Linked DNA regions of Macaca fascicularis. The protein of the gene in region 3 interacts with the protein of the main gene of each other region in a biochemical or structural test. Links are inferred from orthologs where the notes say so. Each region holds a gene or a part of one and is shown on either strand. Other genes may lie near its edges. The genes, in order: MAPK7, CHEK2 and PML.

What was found.
Region 1: the proteins of PML (region 3) and MAPK7 form a complex in vitro, tested with the Homo sapiens proteins (2 studies listed by BioGRID and IntAct, with this or other methods). The link is inferred for Macaca fascicularis from reciprocal best matches to the Homo sapiens genes PML and MAPK7.
Region 2: the proteins of PML (region 3) and CHEK2 form a complex in vitro, tested with the Homo sapiens proteins (2 studies listed by BioGRID, with this or other methods). The link is inferred for Macaca fascicularis from reciprocal best matches to the Homo sapiens genes PML and CHEK2.

What each region holds. Positions count from the first base shown.
Region 1 is NC_088390.1:19,123,334-19,127,079, forward strand, and holds the start of MAPK7 (mitogen-activated protein kinase 7), read left to right. Parts: upstream 1-1,390; 5' UTR 1,391-1,666; coding exon 1,667-1,703; intron 1,704-1,913; exon of another isoform or gene 1,914-2,054; intron 2,055-2,138; exon of another isoform or gene 2,139-2,282; intron 2,283-2,450; exon of another isoform or gene 2,451-2,546; coding exon 2,547-2,783; intron 2,784-3,420; coding exon 3,421-3,586; intron 3,587-3,746. UniProt on the Homo sapiens protein: Plays a role in various cellular processes such as proliferation, differentiation and cell survival. The upstream activator of MAPK7 is the MAPK kinase MAP2K5.
Region 2 is NC_088384.1:22,926,382-22,930,109, forward strand, and holds the start of CHEK2 (serine/threonine-protein kinase Chk2), read left to right. Parts: upstream 1-823; 5' UTR 824-874; exon of another isoform or gene 875-1,299; intron 1,300-3,728. Other genes in the region: iron-sulfur cluster co-chaperone protein HscB, read right to left, coding at 327-562. UniProt on the Homo sapiens protein: Serine/threonine-protein kinase which is required for checkpoint-mediated cell cycle arrest, activation of DNA repair and apoptosis in response to the presence of DNA double-strand breaks.
Region 3 is NC_088381.1:50,917,935-50,921,680, forward strand, and holds the start of PML (protein PML), read left to right. Parts: upstream 1-1,201; 5' UTR 1,202-1,231; coding exon 1,232-1,360; intron 1,361-3,746.

The DNA.
Region 1 (3,746 bases), on a different chromosome or scaffold from region 3:
CCCTCCTTGGCCAGCACACCCTAAAATTTAACCTGAAAGACCAGTTCAGGCCACAGTGGGAGATGGGAGTTGGACATGCCTCATTATACCCCTCCAACATTAACATCAACACAGACCATAAGTCTGATAAGAAACATGTCTATTCTCTCTATAGCCGGCTACTGGTAGGCTTCAACTGCATAATAAAACGTAGGTCTCCCGGCCGGGCGCAGTGGCTCACGCCTGTAATCCTAGCACTTTGGGAGGCCAGTGGATCACTTGAGGTGAGGAGTTCAAGACCATCCTGGCCAACATGGTAAAACCCCGTCTCTACTAAAATACAAAAAAAAAAAAAAAAAAAAGAGCTGGGCTTGGTGGCTCACGCCTGTAATCCCAGCTGCTCTGGAGGCTGAGGCAGAAGAATTGCTTGAATCCAGGAGGGGGAGGTTGCAGCAAGCCAAGATCATTCCACTGCACTCCAGCCTGGGCAACAGAGCAAGACTCATTCTCAAAATAATAATAATATACTTAAAAAACCCAAAAAACCCTAGGTCTCCACAACCCCTTATCATAATCCAGATATTCCTTTCTATAGATAATAACTCTTGTAACCAACTGCCAATCAGGATATGTTTAAATCTACCTGTGACTTGGAAGCCCCTCCTCTTCCAGTTGTCCTGCCCTTTCAGAATAGACATTGAACAGACATTTCCCCAAAGGAGACAAATGGCCAATAAGCACATAAAATCAATGTCAATCTTGCACGTATTGATTTATGTATTATGTCTTCCTAAAATGTATAAAGGCTGGCTGTGCCCCATCTTGGGCACATGTTGTAGGACTTCTGGAGGCTATGTCACCACCATGTCCTTAACCTTGCTAAAATAAACTTTCTAAATTGACTTGAGACTTGTCTCAGATACTTGGTTCACATAAGTTTCTTTTAGGGGCGATGAAAATGTTCCATAAACCACTCTACCTAAAATTAGGTAGTGCTGATGGCTGCTCAACTGTGAATACACCAAAAAACACTCAATTGTACACTATATATGGTATGTTATTAAAAGTTGTTTAAAAGTGAGGGACCCCTCCAGTTATTGATACGGAATGATCTTCAGGAAAAGAGAATATGTTACATTTTGTACACGAAAGGGAAGGTGGGTACGAATATGTATTTGCATTGCTTTTTTCTATAAGCCGCCTAGGAGTGAAACCAAAATTCTTCACTTCTTTCAGCCCTACCCCGTTCCCTTTAAAAAACCTTTCCTTCCAGCTCACACTATCCACCATATCCATCTTCGCCTCCTGGCACTGAGCCTTAGAGGGGCGGTGCTCCAGAAACATTTGCTACATGAATGAACGAATCAACCATCGGATTTTGGGGTGGGTCGGCGCAGCTCGGTTCCAGCGAGGGCTCCGCCTACCAGCGGGCTCCGCAGAGGGACAGAGGCCGGGCGGCCGCCTCGGTTAACTCCGCTGCAGCCCAAAGCACGGGAATCGCGGGACAAACAAACGAGCGGAGGTAACACACCTGCAGGCCAGGAAACCCCCAGGTGCGGTCCCACTTGGCCGGAAGCTGCGGAGAGACTCAGCCACCGGAAGTCAGTGGAGGGTTCGGCCGGCCGCTCTAGAATCCTGGAGGACCGGGATCTCTGTGGTTGGCCGTGACGGGCACCCTCTACCGGGGATGACACATTCCCAGAGCTCCTGGGACCGAGAAAATGGTGGGCACAATTCCCGGGGCGGAGGGGGACTTCGGGACCCAGTAGCCAAGATAACAGTCCCAGTCCCGGGCATCTCAGTCCGGACAGTTGCCCGAGCTCATGGGACTAGCTGTGATTGGCCGGACGAGGTCGAGCGCTAGATGGGGACGCGCGCGCTACGTGCATGGGCGTTGCCTTCCATTCACTTGGCGCCCGACTGCCAGTGCGCATGCGTTTGAAGGCGGTGCCGGGCGGGGAGCACACCCCTGTGAAGTGCCGGGCACCCTTTGGGCGGCTCCCGCCGGCTAGCTGGACAGCGGCGCGCGCCAGGCGTGGCTTCCTCGGCCGGTGGGCTAGGATTGGGCGCAGCAGGTAGAAGGGGCAGGACCCTTCGCAGAAATAGCTCAGCGATTGGCCAGGAGCTGGAGGGAGCGTGGTGTTGGGAGGCGGGGCGGAGGGGGACGGACAGGGCAGCTCACGACGCTGAGGTGGTGGCCGCGGCCCTTGAATAAGTAAGTGAGCCACCCTCGGAGACTCCCGCGCTGGGGACGGGAGGCCGGTGAGCCTCGGGACCTCTGAAAGCCTTGAGGAGGCGCGGGGGTGAGTGCGGCCCGGGGGAAACCCAGGTGCCCCGCCCCTCCCTTTCTTCCTGGCCCGCGCCTCGCCTCCCCATCCCCCGACCCTGGCCTGGCCCCTGCTGGGCCCCGACCCCTGGGGTAGCGTGTTTTCCCCGAACCAACCGCGCGCTTCTGGCCCTTGTCGGTTTAGGGAACTGGGAAGTTCCCTGGTCCTGCTCCCCAGCCCGCAGAGGGGACGCTGAGGCCCACGGGAGGCGGTCCCCTCCTCACCCGAGTCTCCACGCAGACACCATGGCCGAGCCCCTGAAGGAGGAAGACGGCGAGGACGGCTCTGCGGAACCCCCCGGGCCCGTGAAGGCCGAACCCGCCCACACCGCTGCCTCTGTAGCGGCCAAGAACCTGGCCCTGCTTAAAGCCCGCTCCTTCGATGTGACCTTTGACGTGGGCGACGAGTACGAGATCATCGAGACCATAGGCAACGGGGCCTACGGAGTGGTGTCCTCCGCCCGCCGCCGCCTCACCGGTGAGCTTCCTGAGCCGTCGCCTCCCAGATGTGGCAGCGTCGCAGGGAGTGGGAAACCGGCCCGTCCCAGACAGCTGGGAAGGAAAGCGGGGTGCGAGTTCTGGCTCCAGTCAACACACGCTGACCAGGACCCTCTGCCTGCCAGGCTCCGGGGAGGCTCGGTTCTCTGAAACTCTGGCCTGGGGGTTTTGCCATCCTGCCTGCCTACTTCCTCCTTAGAAAAATGACAGTCCCAGTTAGACCAGAATGGAGAGCCATTCCTTCGTGTCTAAGAGACAAATGTGTTCTGGAGCCAGACACTGGCACAAGGAACTGGTGGTGGGATGGGTGAGGTCTGAGATGCAGAGGGTGTAGGCATTAGAGACTGAACTCCACCACTGGGCAGCCGTGCAACCTCCAACAAGTTACTAAGCCATATTTCCTTCTCTTTAACATTGACCTATTGGGACCTGCCCTGTAGGGGAGTTGTGAAGGTCACATTTAATAATGTAGGTAACATGCTTGGCACATAGTAGGTACCCAGTACTTGGTAGCTGTTGTCATTTGCATCCTAGAAGGGAGGTGTTGATAGGGGCTGGGTCGACTCTGCAGTTTCTCCAAGGTATCCTCTGGTGTGTCCCTGTTCCCTGCTCCTCAGGCCAGCAGGTGGCCATCAAGAAGATCCCTAATGCTTTTGATGTGGTGACCAATGCCAAGCGAACCCTCAGGGAGCTGAAGATCCTCAAGCACTTTAAGCACGACAACATCATCGCCATCAAGGACATCCTGAGGCCCACTGTGCCCTATGGCGAATTCAAATCTGTGTAAGAAGCGGGATGGGAGAGGGAGCCAGACTTGGGACTTTTCTGAAGGCTGCACTCATATTGCTGAAGTTCTGGAAGGGCAGCTGAATCTAATCTGAAGCAGGCTGGGAAAATTCCCGCAGTCCTAGGACCAGTTCTCCTTTAGAGTTTTGCCAGGGAC
Region 2 (3,728 bases), on a different chromosome or scaffold from region 3:
GACTTCTCCTTCCCTTTCCCGTAGGTACCGCCCCTCAAATCTCCCTCCCCTCTAGCCTCGGCCCCCCTATTTCCTCTAACTTCAGCGCCCGCCCCTCCAGTCCCGTTCGTCTCCCTTCTCCACACCTCAACGCTGCTTCCCTCAGTCCCCGCCTCTCAATTTCCTCCTGAGAAATCAAGACACTTCTCTCACGCCTGCTCTCTAGACCTCCGCCCCCCTATCGGTCCCGCCTTCTCTTCCGCAAGCCAGATCCGTCCTCCCCTCTCGCAGGCCAGACCCCGACGTCTCTCTCGCCCGGGCCCGTTTCCCGAAACAGTCGCTCGTACCAGTCCATAAGGCTGAAGTAGTCTCGAGTGGGGTCAGGTGCCTGCAGCGCTCTGCACTGTGGGCAGAAGAACCTGTCCTCCCGCCCGGGGCCCCATGGGCCGCCGCAGTTCCAACAGTGGGGAGAATTGCTTTCCGCCTGCGACGCAGCATCGCAGCTTAGCAGTCTCCTTCTGGGAACCCCTGTTGGCCAAAACCCCCACACCCGGAGCAAAGCCCCGACTCTCCCCCGCCACATCTCGCCGGCGGCCTAGCTAGCCGTGGTCACCCGTGGGGAAAAGCAAAGAGAGCGTCCAACCAGACTAATGCTGCTGATTGGCTGGGGAGTCGAGGGGGCGGGATCACCCGAGGGGAACCCGAGTTCTAAGTTCCGCTCTGCCTTCTAAACTACAACTCCCAGGAAGCATTGAGGCGATGCCTGACGGCCACATCTGCTGCTCCTCATTGGTCCGGCGGCAGGGGAGAGGGTTTTGATTGGCTGAGGGTGGAGTTTGTATCTGCAGGTTTAGCGCCACTGCAGGCTGAGGCTGTGGAGAGTGTGCGGCTCCAGGTGGGCTCACGCGGTGAGTCATATTGGGAACTTCTGTTGGGTGTTTGGTGGTTCGAATCCCATCTTCAGCGTTTCGTGCGAGCGGAGTCTCCTGAGCTTCGCTTTGTCTGTATTTTTGTACTGAAGGGGGAGTGTGTGGGCGACTCTCTTCCTTTTTAGTAGATCATCCTCGAGGTGAAGTTCACTTCCCGTATTACTTACAAGCTGAAACAGGCCTGAACGGACAGGATAAGAAGGAACAGAGTTGTGTTCTTCAATATCAGAGCGAAGTTACTTTGTAAAAAGTTCTATAGATGTTAGTAGTCATTGCCATTCTTTAGATTCAATCTCTAAAATACTTATAGAGAGGCCAGTCTTAGCTACTGGGCGCTGCAGGAACTGGAAACGCACTGAGCTGTGTAGGAGGATGTTCTGCGGGTCCCTAAGTAAGTCCCTAAGTAAGTGTATGGGATAGGGTGGCCAGGAGTGGGTAGGAGGGAATCAGTCCTCCTTCGGACTTAGGTTTTCTACTTGAAAAAAAAGATTGTGTTTCACTTGAAAGCCTTCTGGACTTTTTAAAAAAAATTATTTATTTTTGATATAAAGTATACATGTATGAGTACCACATATGTACCTTTTTTTTTTTTTTTTGAGACGGAGTCTCTCTCTGTTGCCAGGCTGGAGTGCAGTGGCGCGATCTGGGCTCACTGCAACTTCTGCCTCCTGGGTTCAAGCGGTTCTCCTGCCTCAGCCTCCTAAGTATCTAGGATTATAGGTGCCGGCCACCATGCCCGGCTAGTATTTTTAGTAGAGATGGGGTTTTACCATGTTGGCCAGGCTGGTCTTGAACTCCTGACCTCAGGTGATCCACCCGCCTTGGCCTCCCAAAGTGCTGGGATTACAGGTGTGAGCCACTGCACCCAGCCTAATTTCAGTTTTTTGAGGAATCACAATACTTTTGTGATTAGTGGCTATACTAATTTGCATTCCCACCAATGGTGTATGTGAACAGGGCAAGGTCAGACATAACTAGGTCCGTGAACATTTGTGTTTTTCCACAAGATCAGACTTATTGATGTTTTATTTTAATTGTAAAAGCCACGAGCTACATGGAGTTCCCAAGGAAGCAATTTTCTGTAGTACTACCTGTTTACTTGGTAGTCAGAACCGTGGGCACACAGGCTGAAGCCATTCCACAAGTCAGTCAGCATTGTAAATTATACACAATAGTATATTTATTTAATATATAAATGTTATAGGTTAAAAATCTTACATTAAAGTAACATTTAACATTCAGAGAAAAGGGGATAGGGAAAGCGGTTATCAAACCAGTCCAAGGAGAGCAATGTGGACAAAGAGAGTGTTTTGGCTTGATCTGGGGTGTCAGTGTCTTGTAAGGAAGAGTTTTTTGATGTGGATGAGCCTTTGGTGGCAGATGCTGGGTGTTAATCGTGAGTGACAGCAAGATGGTGTCTGTTAGGACAGCCATTCTGACCTAATAAAGTCCTGGTCTTATGACCACAAAATTTTCTGGTAAGGACTAATAACAAAAGCGTGTACATGTTTATGTCCTTATCTGGTTTAGTACCGTCTTTTTTTGTTTTTTTTTTTGAGACAGAGTCTCGCTTTGTCTCTCGCAGGCTAGAGTGCAGTGGCGTGATCTCGGATCACTGCAACTTCCGACTCCCTGGTTCAAGCGATTCTCCTGCCTCAGCCTCCCAAGTAGCTGGGATTACAGGCACGTGACACCACGCCCAGCTAAGTTTTGTATTTTTAGTAGAGTCGGGGTTTCACCATGATGGCCAGGATGGTCTTGATCTCCTGACTTTGTGATCCGTCTGCCTTGGCCTCCCAAAGTGCTGGGATTACAGGCGTGAACCACTGTGCCTGGCCAGTACAGTCTTTATTAATTAGACAAACATCTGGTCCCTATTGGCATAATGCCTTTTAAAATACAAGAGCCTTTTTCTAAGATAAAATTACTTATGTCAAGAGCACTCTGTACAGTTCCCCTTTCTCCACATTCTTCCCAGCATCTGTTATTGCCTGTCTTTTATTCAAACCATTTTAACTGGGGTGAGATGGTATCTCATTGTAGGTTTGTTTGTTTGTTTGTTTGTTTGTTTGAGACAGAGTCTTACTCTGTAGCCTAGGCTGGAATGCAGTGGTGCGATTTTGACTCACTGCATTCTCTGCCTCCCAGGTTCAAGCGATTCTCCTGCCTCAGCCTCCCAAGTAGCTGGGATTATAGACACCTGCCACCATGCCCAGCTAATTTTCATATTTTTAGTGGAGACAGGGTTTCACCATGTTGGCCAGGCTGGTCTCAAACTCCTGACCTCAAGTGATCTGCCCGCCTCCGCCTCCCAAAGTTCTGGGATTACAGGCATGAGATACTGTGCCCAGGCCTCACTGTAGTTTTGATTTGTTATTTCTCCAATGATCAGTGATGTTGAGCATTTTTTTATATACCCGTTGGCCATTTGTATGTCTTCTTTTGAGAAATGTCTGTTCGGATCTTTTGCCCATTTCTTTTTTTTGAGACAGAGTCTCACTCTGTCACCTAGCCTGGAGTGCAGTGGCGCGATCTCGGCTCACTGCAATCTCCGTCTCCGTTTCCTGGATTCAAGTGATTCTCATGTCTCAGCCTCCAAAGTAGCTGGGACTACAGGCACGAGCCACCACGCCCAGCTAATTTTTTGTATTTTTAGTAGAGATGTGGTTTCGCCATGTTGGCCAGGCTGGTCTTGAAGTCCTGACCTCAGATGATCCACCCTGCCTTGGCCTCCCAAAGTGCTGGGATTACAGATGTGAGGCACTGTGCCTGGCCTGCCCATTTCTTTTTTTTTTTTTTTTTTTGAGACGGAGTCTCGCT
Region 3 (3,746 bases):
CGCATACTATAAGGTTTACAAGAGCCAGGCCCTATCATCATCCTTTCTAGTCTGTTTCTAAGTTGGAACAGAGTACAGAATGGGTACACAGGAGCCAGCACAGTGGTTGCGATGGTTTAAGTTTGAAGCCAGGGGCACTGGCCCAGTGAGGTCACCTGGAGCTGTGCCCTTTCCCCCTCACCAGCTGGGAGTCTGGCATGCTTTTCCACTGGTGAAGACCTACCTGGCTCTCCCCTCTCCCTCTTCATACCCGCTCTCCAGCTCTCCCCCTCCCTCCTGCCCCCACCACCTCACATCCACCAGCCTTTCCAGCTGTCACTCAAGGCGTCACCCTGCTCCCTCACCTCCAGTCACTGGCTTCCCAGGATCTCTGACTCAAGACCCTCCTCTGCATCCCACAGCCACTGTCCTAGACAAGGGTATGTGCCCCTAGGTTGTTAGAGTGACCGTCCCATCATGCACAGCTGATCATGTTGTTTCCTGGTTCCAGATCCTTCACCAACTTCCCATCACTCCCAGAACTGGTCCAATCTCCTTAGTTAGGATCTTGTCCCAGCACACTTCTTGGGCATCATTTCTCATGAATTCCCTCTTAAATCTGAAAACGGCCAAAACTAGTTCCCAAACAGGCTTTCGTGTTTCAAACTTCCATGCCTTTTGCAAGAGCTATCTTTCGTGTTTCCAGTGTCCCCTGGACCCCACCACCTACAGCCCTGAATCCCTGGTGAATTCCCACTGCTTTTTCAGGTCCCAGCTGAGGGCTCTCCTTTCCAGAATGTCTCCGTTTGCAAGCTTGCTCTTCCATTACATCTGGGGCTCTTAAAAAGCAGGGGCTGCGTGTGGCTCATCTTTGTGCGCCCAGCTCCCGGCAGGAGGTGGCACGAAGCAGTGCCAGTGTGAACTGATGAATGGATCAAACCCGGGGGCGGGGCTGCCCCTCTGCAGCTCTGCCCTGCCTCTCCCGCTTTACCGTAAGCCAGCAGTAGGTCTGCGGCTCCCCGCCTCTCCTTCCTCCCCGCTCTGGGCGTGTCTTTAAAACCCACAGTCGGCCTCTCTGCCCCTAGAACCGCCCCCAGTTTGTGTCTCACTTCCTCTCCAGAGGCGGGCCCTGAGCTGGCACCTCCCCTTTCGGACAGCTCAAGGGGCTCAGCCAACTGGCTCACGCCTCCCCTTTAGTTTCTTTTCACGCCCTCCAAGATCTAAACCGAGAATCGAAACTAAGCTGAGGTCCATGGAGCCTGCACCCGCCCGATCTCCGAGGCCCCAGCAGGACCCCGCCCGGCCCCACGCGCCCACCATGCCTCCCCCCGAGACCCCCTCGGAAGGCCGTCAGCCCAGCCCCAGCCACAGCCCTACAGAGGTACTATTGGGTTAGGGGATGATGGGGTTAGGCTTTGTTGGTTTGCTGTGGTGGGGAGAGTGGGGAAGAGAGGGTCTAACGGAGGATTTGGTCAAGTACGCTAGAGAGTGACACAAAGCGGGAAGACCACACACCAGGGTCCTGACCTTCTTGGCTGGGGCATGGGAGGGTAGGATAGAGTAGAAAAGAGGACCCGGAGGAGTTGGGGCGGCCTCGCTGGGCTGCGGTTTCTCCACGGAGCAGTTGGGCAAGGTGAGAAGGGTCAGTGGCCTCCGGGCCTGGGCCCTTCCGCCCACCCTCGAGCCCTGGTCAACCCTGCCTCAGATGCAGGACCACAGATTAGGGAGGATGGAAGTGGTAGCCCTGTTGCGCTGGCCTGGAGCCAGGAGCATGTCCCAGGCACAGCAAAACTAAAACCAACTTCCCAGATCCGAGGTGAGAAACTGTGGCTCAGACTGAAGAGGTATCTTTGCCAAGGCCTCCCAGCTCATGTGGTTTCTGCTTAAGGAAGCCTCCCTAACAAACCCTTCTCTTGCCACACCTGTCCTGCCTACCTCCCACCTCCACCCCCAAAGGAACTACTTGGGTTTCTTGTTCTGCTGTCTTCCAGGCCCTTTTGCTCCCCTTCATGAAAGTACAGAGGACACTGTATTACAGTAACTTTTATAAGCATTATTACAACTAAGAATAACATTACTTAACAACACTAGCTAACATTTATGAGCACTTCAAATGTGCCAGGTACTGTATTAAGCACTTTGGTTTTTTGTTGTTTGTTTTGTTTTGTTTTTTGTTTGTTTGTTTATCTGTTTGTTTTTGAGATGGAGTCTTGCACTGTCGCCCAGGCTGGAGTGCAATGGTGCGATCTCTGCTCGCTGCAACCTCCTCCTCCCGGGTTGACGTGATTCTCCTGCCTCAGCCTTCTGAGTAGCTGGGATTACAGGCCACACCACTATACCTGGCTGATTTTTATATTTTTAGTAGAGATGGGGTTTCACTATGTTGGCCAGATTGGTCTCTAACTTCTGACCTCGTGATCTGCCCAACTCGGCCTCCCAAAGTGCTGGGATTACAGGCGTCAGCCACCATGCCCGGACTGCTTTTGTATTTTAAAAATTGTGGTAAAATATACGTAACGGATAAGCTCCTATGTTAACCATTTCTAAGTGTAACGTTCAGTGGCATTAAGTAGATTCACAATATTGTGTAACCATCACCACCATCTATTTTCAGAACTTTTTAATTGCTCCAGAAACTCTGTACCCTTTAAACCATAGGGGAGGGAAAGATGGCTTCCCTCCACCCTTCTAGTTTCCTTGGCTGGGCTATGAATTAAATAGTCATAAAATAGATTAACAGGGGGAAAACCCATATTTAATTACATATGTATACTCAGGAGTCCCACAAAGTATGAGACTCAAAGAAAGGTCAGATGATTGAAGCCTATATAACATCCTGATCCACAGAAAAGAGCTTGGAGCTTCTGGGTGGTGGTGATGACACAAGTTATGGGAGGGTGAGGAGAGGAGCTGTTGTCTTGCTATGTAGATAAAAAGTTCTTAGATAATAAGAGTTGTCTGGAGCAGCCCTCTTTTAATATAGACCATTTTACTAATGTAGATTTTCTTTGGGATGCAAATGCCTTTCTGTTTTACAAAAGGAGAGCTTTTCAGAGCTATTCCTGTATCAGCAGTTTCTCAGAATAACCAGCTTAAAATATGCCAACAAAGTATATTTCAAGGGTGGCATATTCTGGCCTCCTGCAGTCATATTTTGAAGTGGTGTGTCCTGAGTCTCAGTAAAGCAATAGCTCCTCATTTTCTCCTTCCCCTAGCCCTTGGTAACTTCTAATCTACCTTCTGTCCCTACGAGCTTACTTATTCTAGATATTTCATATAAGTGGAATTGTTACCAGTAGACGGTCTTGACCGCAAGTTGTTCAGGTTCTTGGCGTTTTGAACAAAGAATTGGACAAAATGCACAGCAAAGCAAGGAAAGAATGAAGCAATGAAAGCAGAGATTTATGGAAAATGAAAGTACACTCCACAGGGTGGGATGGGTTGGAGCAGGGCTCAAGGGCCCAAGTTACAGAATCTTCTGGGTTCCAAATATGCCCTAGAGGTTTCCCATTGGCCACTTGGTGTTCACCCCATTGGTTGTAGAAAGCAACCAATCAGAGGTGCTTTCAATTTTCCATCTGCCAGGCAGGAAATGGGGTGTTTTGCAAAGAGAGTAGCCTCTGGTCCTTTTGTTACTTGGGCGTGGAGAGTTCGGGTTTTCCTTTGGATTTAGTTCTAGGAAGTCAGAGGGAATCGGCCTTAGGTTCCCTGCCTCCAGACCCTATTCTCCTGCCTCAGAATCATACAGTATTTGACCTTTTGTGTGT